Lonchura striata: one gene and its partner. The protein of the gene in region 1 purifies or fractionates together with the protein of each later gene. This does not show direct contact. Links are inferred from orthologs where the notes say so. Each region holds a gene or a part of one and is shown on either strand. Other genes may lie near its edges.

What was found. Proteins that work in one complex are often made in the same cells at the same time.
Region 2: the proteins of DHX15 (region 1) and TFIP11 purify together in Homo sapiens (co-immunoprecipitation; 4 studies listed by BioGRID and IntAct, with this or other methods). This does not show direct contact. The link is inferred for Lonchura striata from reciprocal best matches to the Homo sapiens genes DHX15 and TFIP11.

Annotation. Positions count from the first base shown.
Region 1 is NC_134606.1:18,206,314-18,211,056, forward strand, and holds the start of DHX15 (ATP-dependent RNA helicase DHX15), read right to left. Parts: upstream 3,642-4,743; 5' UTR 3,477-3,641; coding exon 3,409-3,476; intron 1-3,408.
Region 2 is NC_134620.1:10,625,910-10,630,652, reverse strand, and holds the start of TFIP11 (tuftelin-interacting protein 11), read right to left. Parts: upstream 3,407-4,743; 5' UTR 3,282-3,406; coding exon 3,085-3,281; intron 2,590-3,084; coding exon 2,436-2,589; intron 1,785-2,435; coding exon 1,628-1,784; intron 1,133-1,627; coding exon 1,005-1,132; intron 579-1,004; coding exon 426-578; intron 1-425. UniProt on the Homo sapiens protein: Involved in pre-mRNA splicing, specifically in spliceosome disassembly during late-stage splicing events. Intron turnover seems to proceed through reactions in two lariat-intron associated complexes termed Intron Large (IL) and Intron Small (IS).

The DNA of each region.
Region 1 (4,743 bases):
CTTGTGAAGAACCAACCCTCCCACATGCACAAAATTTTAACTTGGATCACTATCTCTGATCTGGCCTCCTAAACACTCCCTTGTAGCACTTATTTTCTGTGTTGGTAGCTACTTAAAACAAACAAAAATACAACCTCATGAACAAAAAGTTAATTAAATGGACTACAAATACAATCCATCATGGAAAGTGCCATTAATCCCCCATTTCTCAGTTTCTTCACTGAACTTTTACAGCTTTTATATTGTACAAACAGAAAAGAAACCTATCAAGCTCTATGTACGTTTCAGAAATAAAACCTATTTATGTGTTAATGAAAGTCGAGTATTTCTTTTTTCAAAAAGCAGAAGAGAACCAGGGCAACCAGATTCTACCACAGAAACAGCACAACACACAACATGCATACAAACTTACTCTCTAACACTTATAAATTATACAGCAGCACTTACTGTGCCTGAAACTATTTACCAGTTTCCCATTATTACTGAAGCTTAGCAGACACAGCAGACACACACTCCCTTGGTCAACAAGGAAAAGGAGGAATGACAGTTATGCCGCCATATTAATTTCCTTAACTTTCTAACAATATGGCTTGACAGTTCTTTACTTATAAACTATTACATTTTAGCTGCTTTTTCATTATTGCTCAGAGAAAACAGAACTCAAACACAAAAAATTACACTAAAGTAATGATTTAATCACATTTGTCTTGCACCTGAAACGCGTAACAGCCTTCATGATCAGAAGGGGGCTGGGATTTTTTGCTCTGCTTTTAAGTGAAAAAGTCTGGTCTGCTATTTGCTTTCACTTCCTTACATTCACACACATATAACATATATGAACACAAAATAAGCACTATAGCAACCACTAAATAAGCATGCTTTTTTTGATTAGAAATCATATAAAAATAAAAAGGGAAACAAAGGACTCAAGGTAAACCACTGATCATCACAGTGAAGGCTTAAACCAGTCTAAGAAATCATAATTCCTCCCCATTATTAAACAGCAATATTTGATGCAAAAAAGGCAATAAGCTAAAGGAATTTCTGTTCTATACAGAAATCAACCAAATACAATTAGTCTGAATGATACATCCCATTAGATCACTCTGATGTTACACAACTCAAATATATTTAAAAATAAATTAGCATATTTTAAAATAGTATGTATGTAATTCACAGAAATGCTGTAACCAAGTCTTCCATACAACTTTTATTTTTCAAAATGTTTTTTACTTCACAGACAATACTTCAATTCTGGAAGAAAACAGATGTCATGCAGATGTTTAAGGTTGCACCAGTTACAAACATGTCGGCCAAGCAGAGCCCATGTGGCACTGCTGCCAATGTGCAGCAACCCATACTAACATAGGCCTCCATTAAAGAGGAACTAAAAAATACAGGTTCACTTGAAGTAACTTTCATATTTGTCAGGTAGTCCAGTTAGGATGCAAGACACTATTGTTCTGAATGCGAAGTGGTAATCACGCAAGGAGCTCATCCAGCTTAATCCAGCTCCAGAACCACCTACACTGCGGAAAGGCAACCTCGGCACAGAGGAAGACAGGTACACACAGGCTTTTAACAAGGCTCCACACATCCTCCTTACGGCCTTGCATAAGCTGCAAAACCGAACTACTCTAAAATAAACCAGCCATGTAACATTAGTATGACTCATCCTACGTGAATTAAGATTGCAAGTCATCTAAGAAATAATCATGGCATGTTCAGTAATTATGCTTATAGTGAGTTTTTCTCAGTCCTATACCATTTCATGCTTTTACCTGCAGAGGGCAGGACAAAGAAGGGGCACAAGACCAACATTTCTACAGTTTTTAGGTGCCATAAAGGTCAATGTCTTCTAGTTTAACACTGGTGGGAACTCACTGCAGTACATACAAAATGGTAGCACCAAGAGCACAGAATAGCATTCATGATAAGTAAAAACAATGACAAACAAGGCCACACCAAAACTACAAAATCCACCAACATACAAACAAGGAAATATTGACCCATGATTATCGCTACAGCCAGCTGTAACAGTTGTACCACAGAAAAACTGTACATGTACATTTCTGTACACTCAGAGGAACTATTTCAAACTCTGGGAAATCCTACAAAAATGCATTAACTAACACAAATAGCTCAATATATTTTATAAAACGTGATTATGATGATCCTACAGACAGAAAGTAAAAGTAGAATAACAAAGACTTATTTTGTTTAGCTGAGAAAAATGAATCAAACTCTAGGGGCTAAAAACTGAAGCTGTACAAGCTTACCTTAAAAAAGGCAAGTTTTGCAAAGACTGTTTGTCAGTGACTATTAACTGCTACATTCGACTTATTTAACCTGTGAAAACTGAAATTTTTTTTTCTTACATAACTAGTCCAAAACAACGCTGATGGACTTAAACAAGTGTTTAATTCACGGAAGCTTGCTGTGCTCCATAAAGAAGGCCAGACTAGATAAACACTGCATTTTTTTGTACTCCTTAAAACTTCAGAAATTTACTTTCAAGAGCTGACTGCCCTTCCTCCCCCTCCTGCCCAACTAGAGAGGAAAAGATAATGTGTAAAGAAAGCTCTAAATCAACGCTGAATTTAAGAACAGCACCAGTGCATTGTCTGTGTTCCTGCAATTACATTAACCTCAACAAAAATATGCTCGAGTACAGCCCTAAAACTTCAACCCCGCAAAACTAAGAGAAAAATAAACAATTCCTTGCCCCCTAACTCAAAACCCACCTCACCATCGATTCTTACTTCAGGGCAAGCACATCACCGAGGGTGACTGGGTGAAAAGACGTTAACAAAGGAACAAGGCTCCCACCAGAGTAGGCACTAATAACACGGGCTGCACAACCCTCGTGCTCACCTCTAGGCCCACGCTCGCCAGACCTTTCAAGCCAGAGAATAAGTAAACAAACACAAAGGAAGGAGGACAAGGAGTGGAAAAGGCGAATATAAGTACGAAGGCGAAGAGCTGCAAACAAAGCGTGCGCGGGGGCGCGGGCCCCGCAGCGGGCGCCCAGCCCAGCCCCCTGCCCCGGCGGCCGGGCCGGCGCCTCCCTCCCCTCCCTCCCCTCCCCCTGCCGGCGCCGCCGCGCGAGGCCCCGCCGCCGCTGTCGCCGCCGCCGCCGCCATCCGCCCCCCGAAGGGCCCGCCCGGCGGGGCGGCCGTTCCGAGCCAGGCCCCGCGCTCGGGGAGCCGCCAGACTTCGGGGCCTGCTCGGCCGAGGCGCCGTCGCTGCGGCCTCTCCCTGCCTCGCAAGGCGGCCGCCCCGCGTCCCGGGGAGCTGCAGCCCCGGAGGGGCGGCCGGAGCCGGGGATGGGGCGCGGATGGCGCGGGAGCCGCCGCGATCCCCCCCACCCGCCCCGCCGCAGGCCGCGCCGCCCGCGCCACCCCTCACCCGTCGGTGGTGCGTTTCTTGCTGGAGCTGTAATCGTCGCCCAGATCGAGGCGGTGGCGCTTGGACATGGCGATGGCGGTCGGTGTGGCTGGCGGGCGGTCGGTCCGGGTGCGGCGGGCGGGTGCTCTGCGCTCCCTCCCCGAGCGGCGGCACGGCGAGGCACGGCCGACAAAATGGCGGCCGGAAGGAAGCGCCGGGACCGCGCGAGGCGCTGGCGCGCGGGCCCGTTGGCCAAAGCCTCTCCTGGGCGCGAGCCCGACGGCCCCGCCCCGCGGCTGAGGGCGGGCCGGGACAGCGCCCGTCAGGGGATCCCTGAGCCACAGCGGCACCCGGGCTGGAAATGGCCCTTCAGATCCTCCAGCGCAGCCGCCCAACCCAGCACTGCCACTGTAACCACTGTGTCACATCGCTCAGCGCCAGAGCCGAGCACCTCTTGAACACCTCTGGGGATGGTAGTTCCACCACCCTCCTGGGCAGCTTATTCCAGTTCCTGAGCACACTAACACGGAAAGATTTTTTTAAACATCTAATTCGAATCTTCCTTGTCTCAGCTTCAGTCGATTTCCTTTGGCCGTCTCGCTGCAGGCATAGCAGAAGAGACAGATCCCACCTGGCTCCTGTAGGGAGCCATGAGGTTCCCGCTGAGCCGCCTCCAGGCAGAACAGCCCCAGCTCCCTGAGCCCATCCTCATCAGACATGGTTTCTAGACCTTTCACAAGCTTTCTGCCCTTCTCTGATCATACTCCAGCACCTCACACAGTACTTGAGGTGCAGCCTCACCAGTGCTTGCTCCCTGTCCCTCTTCACAGCCCTGCTCGAGGTTACAACCTCTGCTGAGCCCCTTGAATGAGCACTCGCTCCTGCTGCCCGACTGTTGGAGCCAGGGTGCGTTCACATACGCAGCTAACAAACATGAACGTAGTCAGGAAACATCACCTAGCAGCAGTGACCTGTTCCACAAGTGCAGACAGCTCGCCGAGTGGGGTTTCGTCCAGAGATTCCAGTTACAAAGATTTGTTGCAATTACTTTAATATATTTATTAGAGCATTTAATGTAGACAAATCCATAGGTTATTTTCTTTGATAGAAGATCATTTCTCTCCCTAGTTTTAGATAACAGAACAAAATGGCCTACACAGCTCTACTGGAGCTCTAGATGTTAGTGTAATAAAAATAAGATTTTTCTGCTTAGAGTTATAAACCAAAATAAATATTCCTGGAAACTGGAGTTTGAACTTTTCCTGTGAAGCTGGGAGTAATTTTTTAAAGTTATACAACAAAAAATACTATAATATCCATGTCAGTGGTTTCTAGAGGATAAACACTACAGGGTAA
Region 2 (4,743 bases), on another chromosome or scaffold:
TAGTTGCTGCACTTAGAACTTTTATAATTTAATAAAGATACTTTAATTTCAGTTTCATAATTTTATTGAATGCACACCAGGCAAAGCCCTTACTGTCACAAAGCCCTTACTGTCCCTTTGAGGTAGAAGATCAAACAATCCCTAAAAGGACAACTGTGCTGTCAGAAGTGGGTGAGTGTTGATTATGACAAATGTGAAATAATTAAACTTATTGCAATTAACCCCCTACACACACATTTAATTAAACTTGTCACCACGTCCAGATGACACAGAGCTATTACATGGCTCAGGGATGAGCTCCATGAGGCTGCACAGGAATTCCTAGGACTGGCTTTACTGAGCTTACTGGTGCCTAAAATGTGCTGGTGACACCAAAGAGCCCAAACTGTTCCTCCACGGGTCACCTCTTGGCTTATCAACCTCACCTTGACCTGGGACAGCTCCTTCTGAGGGGCTGCAAGCTGCTTGCTGATCCTGCCCTTGGCTTTCAGCTCTTCCACTGTCTTGTAGCTGTACTTGGGCTTTTTCTTGCCTCCATTTGGGTCCTTCCGCCACTGGCTGAGCTCCTTCTGAAATTCCTGGACAAAAACAACAGAGTTGTGGTAGCTGCTCTTTGTCACACCCCAATTCTGCCTCTTTTCACAGGAAAATAACCATCAGATCCATGAGGAATATGTATAGGAAATAACTGGGAAGTGGAGAAGCTCATGTAAAACCAGCTTGGATGCTGTGGGCCAGTCACCCACCATGTGGATTAAATGAAGACAAAGCCTATTTATGTAGGGGACTCTTCAAAGGAGGGATTCTAGCAAAACTAAAGAAATAGAGTGAGACAGAAACAACAAAGAACATTACAGCAACAAGGAAGATCAGCCTGAACAAAATCGACATGCTGTGTTTGGCTTGTCTAAAATGAGCCCAGTTTTCTCTGACACACAGAAATCAAGAAAACTGAATTCTGTACATACAGCATAGCAGGGAAACAGCAAGAGCCCCAGGAATACCTCCTCAGTTTCCTCTTCTGAGTCCACCACAGGGAAGTCCTGCAAGGACTGTGGGGTCCTCTCGGAGCCGTAAGCACCCACAGCACCTTTGCCTTTCCTCTGCTTGGCCTCGATGGGATTGATGATTCCTGGCAGGATGGGAATGGGGTCAGCAGGAGCAGTTTGTGTGCTGGGAGAACAGCCAGGCTTTCCCTATGAGTTACCAGATCAGCACCAACACCCTCCCTGGCACTGCCTCCAGCACCGTGGTACTTCCAACATCACCAATTCCCTATAAAATCACTTCATCCCAGCACACACCAAACTGCCAAAGCACAGCCTTACTCCCAACCACATTTCACTGCCTTTTTATTCTGCCACATTAAAACAGCATCTCCTTCCCTGTGGGATGACCACCTTTGGAATTTACTGCCTTTTTTCTTGCTCCTTTTCTCTTGTACAATACCCAGAGGAGCAAACGAGCACAGGTTAGTTTGAACACCCCTGAATCTCACCACAAGGCCCAGATCACTGGCAGGAAAACAAGAAGGAAGTTTAAGCCAGATGGCAGCTCTTTAAGGAATCCAACCTCTCCCCAGAACCCCCAGTTAATAATAATAAACCACCAAACACATTGACAATACCTTGAGCATTCTTCCCCAGACCCCTGCCAGGGACATATCCCATCTTCTGGAGGAGCTTCTGCCCAATTCCTTTAGTGTGTCTCTCCCAGCTGCCAAAATCCACGAAGGACTTGGAGCCCCCTACGAAGCCTTTCTGGCTGGGCTTGAAATTTCCACCCTGTCAAAAACAAACACGTAAAAACCTGCAGCCCTGGGGCTTCAAATAACCAAAATGTGCAAAACTCCCCTCAGAAGGTTCTTCCTCCCCATGCTGGAACCATGCTTGTGCATCCGTGAAGCACCACTGGAGATTCCTGAAATTCCTCAGATGGGAAAGGAAAACCCTGAAAAAACTCTGGCTGACAACCTGACAGTTCTCAGGTTCCACCACCAGATTTAGCTGAAGCTGATTCCTGATTCTTTCTGGTTTTAACTGAAGAGTTTGAGTTTTACTCTATAACATGCCTGGATTTGTTAATTCTGTGAAAGTAGAAAAATAAAGTGTCTGAAAGACAGGAAATCACAGGAATTCTCTTCTTTAAACCTCCATGGACCAAAACGAATATTGAAAAAAATGAGAGGACTGATCCCCAAGGACACACAGTTATACCAATGTACAGTTGTACCAATGATTTATTATCCTGATTTTTATCAATGTATTTGTATCAATGATACAAAATCCCAAGCAAACACTTCCCTGACACATTTGGGTCTCTGGCTTAATTATTCCTCCCTTTTTTTAGTGCTCTATTACATCTCGCTGCCCTCGACCACAGCCTGAGTTTCACAAACCTAAAACAGAGAACAGCAAATTTCCTGGAGAACTCACTGTTTTCAACTTCTTGGGCACAAACTCCTTGGGAATCTCCTCCTGCTTCACAGGTTTCTCATCCTCATCCGAGTCCTCATCCGAGAGCTCCTCGGCCGCCCCCTTCCTCAGCCCAGCGCTCACAAAGCTCACGGGGGCTGAGTAATCCCTGGAGCTGCCAAACAAGAGGGAATTCTGCTCATTCCTGCAGGAGGCTGGGAGCTGCTGTGCCTCACACCTCCCAAAAATGGGATATTAAAGGCTGCCGAGCTGCTTAACCCTGCTTTGCCAGGCAATCCCCATCCTCCTCTGCGTGCTGCAGGGAGAGCACAGGGAAAATCCCTACAGGTGAGAGGGGCAGCCCAGCCGGCGATGTCCACAGCTGGGAAAGACGCAGGGAATGGGGGGAAAAGCTCCAGGGAACGGGCGGGGGGAAGCTCCAGGGAATGGGGGGGGAGCTCCAGGGAATGGGGGGGAAGCTCCAGGGAACGGGGAGGGAGTTCCAGGGAACAGGGAGGGAGCTCCAGGGAATGGGGGGGGGAGCTCCAGGGAACGGGGAGGGAGTTCCAGGGAATGCGGGAGAAGCTCCAGGGAATGGGGGAGGAAGCTCCAGGGAACGGGGCAGCTCCTGGGGTCCCTGAGCGGCCCGGGGGTCGCAGCCCGGCCGCACCGCTTCCCGCCGAAGCTGGGCCGCTCCTCGTCCGAGTCTCGCTCGGCCCACACGCCGTAGGTCGCCTCCTCCTTGGTCTGGCGGTGTCGCTGCCGGTGCGGGTTGAATTCGTTCTGCAGGTCCCAGTCCGACACCTCGAAGCTCTCCATCTCCACGCCATCGTCTCCGTCCGTGCCGTACAGGTGCGACATCGACATCGCGGCACCGCCGGGATGTCCCCGGCCCGCTCAGGGATCCCCGGCCCCTCAGGAACTCCTGACCCGGGACCCCGGCCCCCTCATGGAGCCCGGCCCCGGCCGCGCCGCCACACCGGATGCGCCGCCTTCACTTCCGGTCGCCGGCACGCGCGCGAGCCCCGCCCCCAAACCATCGAGTCGGCGCGGCCGCGCAGGTGGCACCGCCTTGTGGGGAGTAGAGGGGGAGGAGCCCGCGCGATTAATAATTAAAATATTAAATATCAAATCAACGCTTTAATGGTGTTCGACACCAGGGGTGGGGTGGGGGGCATATATTAACTCTGCAATAGCCTCTGCAGGGTCAGGGAGGCGGTGGGGGGGGAGGGCACACGCACCACAAAGGCTCTGCAGGGCCAGGGGGGCTGTTCCTGACCCTGGGAATTGGAAACAGTAGGACCAGGGTGGCTCTTCCCGATCCCAGGAATACGGAACAGCAGGGATGGGAGGGCTGTTCCTCCCACACCGGGAACAGGATCACGAGACACACACACACGCCATGTACAGAATCCTCCAGGCACGGCACGGGAATCTCCTCCCGTCCCCCCGGCTTTCCACAGCTGCATTCCCCACGGAGCGCTGCGACCGGCCGGGGACGTTCCCGCCGTGGAGCACGTTTGGCCTTTGCAAATAAATGCAAATACATTCCTGGAGCGCAGTCATTTGGCAACAGTAGGAGCAAGCAATATGCTTGGAGAACAGATTTCCACGGGCCCACTGCACGCTCTTCCTTCTCGGGCAACAACAGGCTGTTGGCAGCGTTCTGGAAGAGACAAAACACAGAACCTCAGGAGCAGGACTTCTTCAGGAGCAGGATCCCCTCAGAGCCAGGATCCCCTCAGGAGGAGGATCCCCTCAGGAGCAGGATCCTGTGAGGGCCAGGATTCCCGCAGGAGCAGGATCCTGTGAGGGCCAGGATTCCCTCAGGAGCAGGATTCCCTCAGGAGCAGGATCCTGTGAGGGCCAGGATTCCCTCAGGGCCAGGATCCCCTTGGGAGAAGGATTCTCTCAGGAGCAGGATTCCCTCAGGGCCAGGATCCCCTAAGGAACAGGATCCCTTCAGAAGCAGGATCTTCTCAGGGACAGGATTCCCTAAGGAGCCCCTAAGTAGCAAAATCTCCTCATGGGCAGGATTCCCTCAGGGTCAGGATCCCCTCAGGAGCAGGATTCCCTCAGACTAGCACAGCAACGCCTGACTGAGGGTTTAAAGATGACACAAAAAATGGCCAGAAAGGAACCAATTCTCAGCTCAGTACAAGGGGGATACACAATTCCTGATCTTCCCTCAGTGCTTCTGATCTTTTTCTAGCCCATATGCTTGTAGACAGAAACTTGCTCTTAAAGGATTAGTTTTAGTACCAAGAATGGTATTTTATGCTTTAGCATGGAGGAAGAACATCCAACACATCAACAGTTGTCTCTGGAA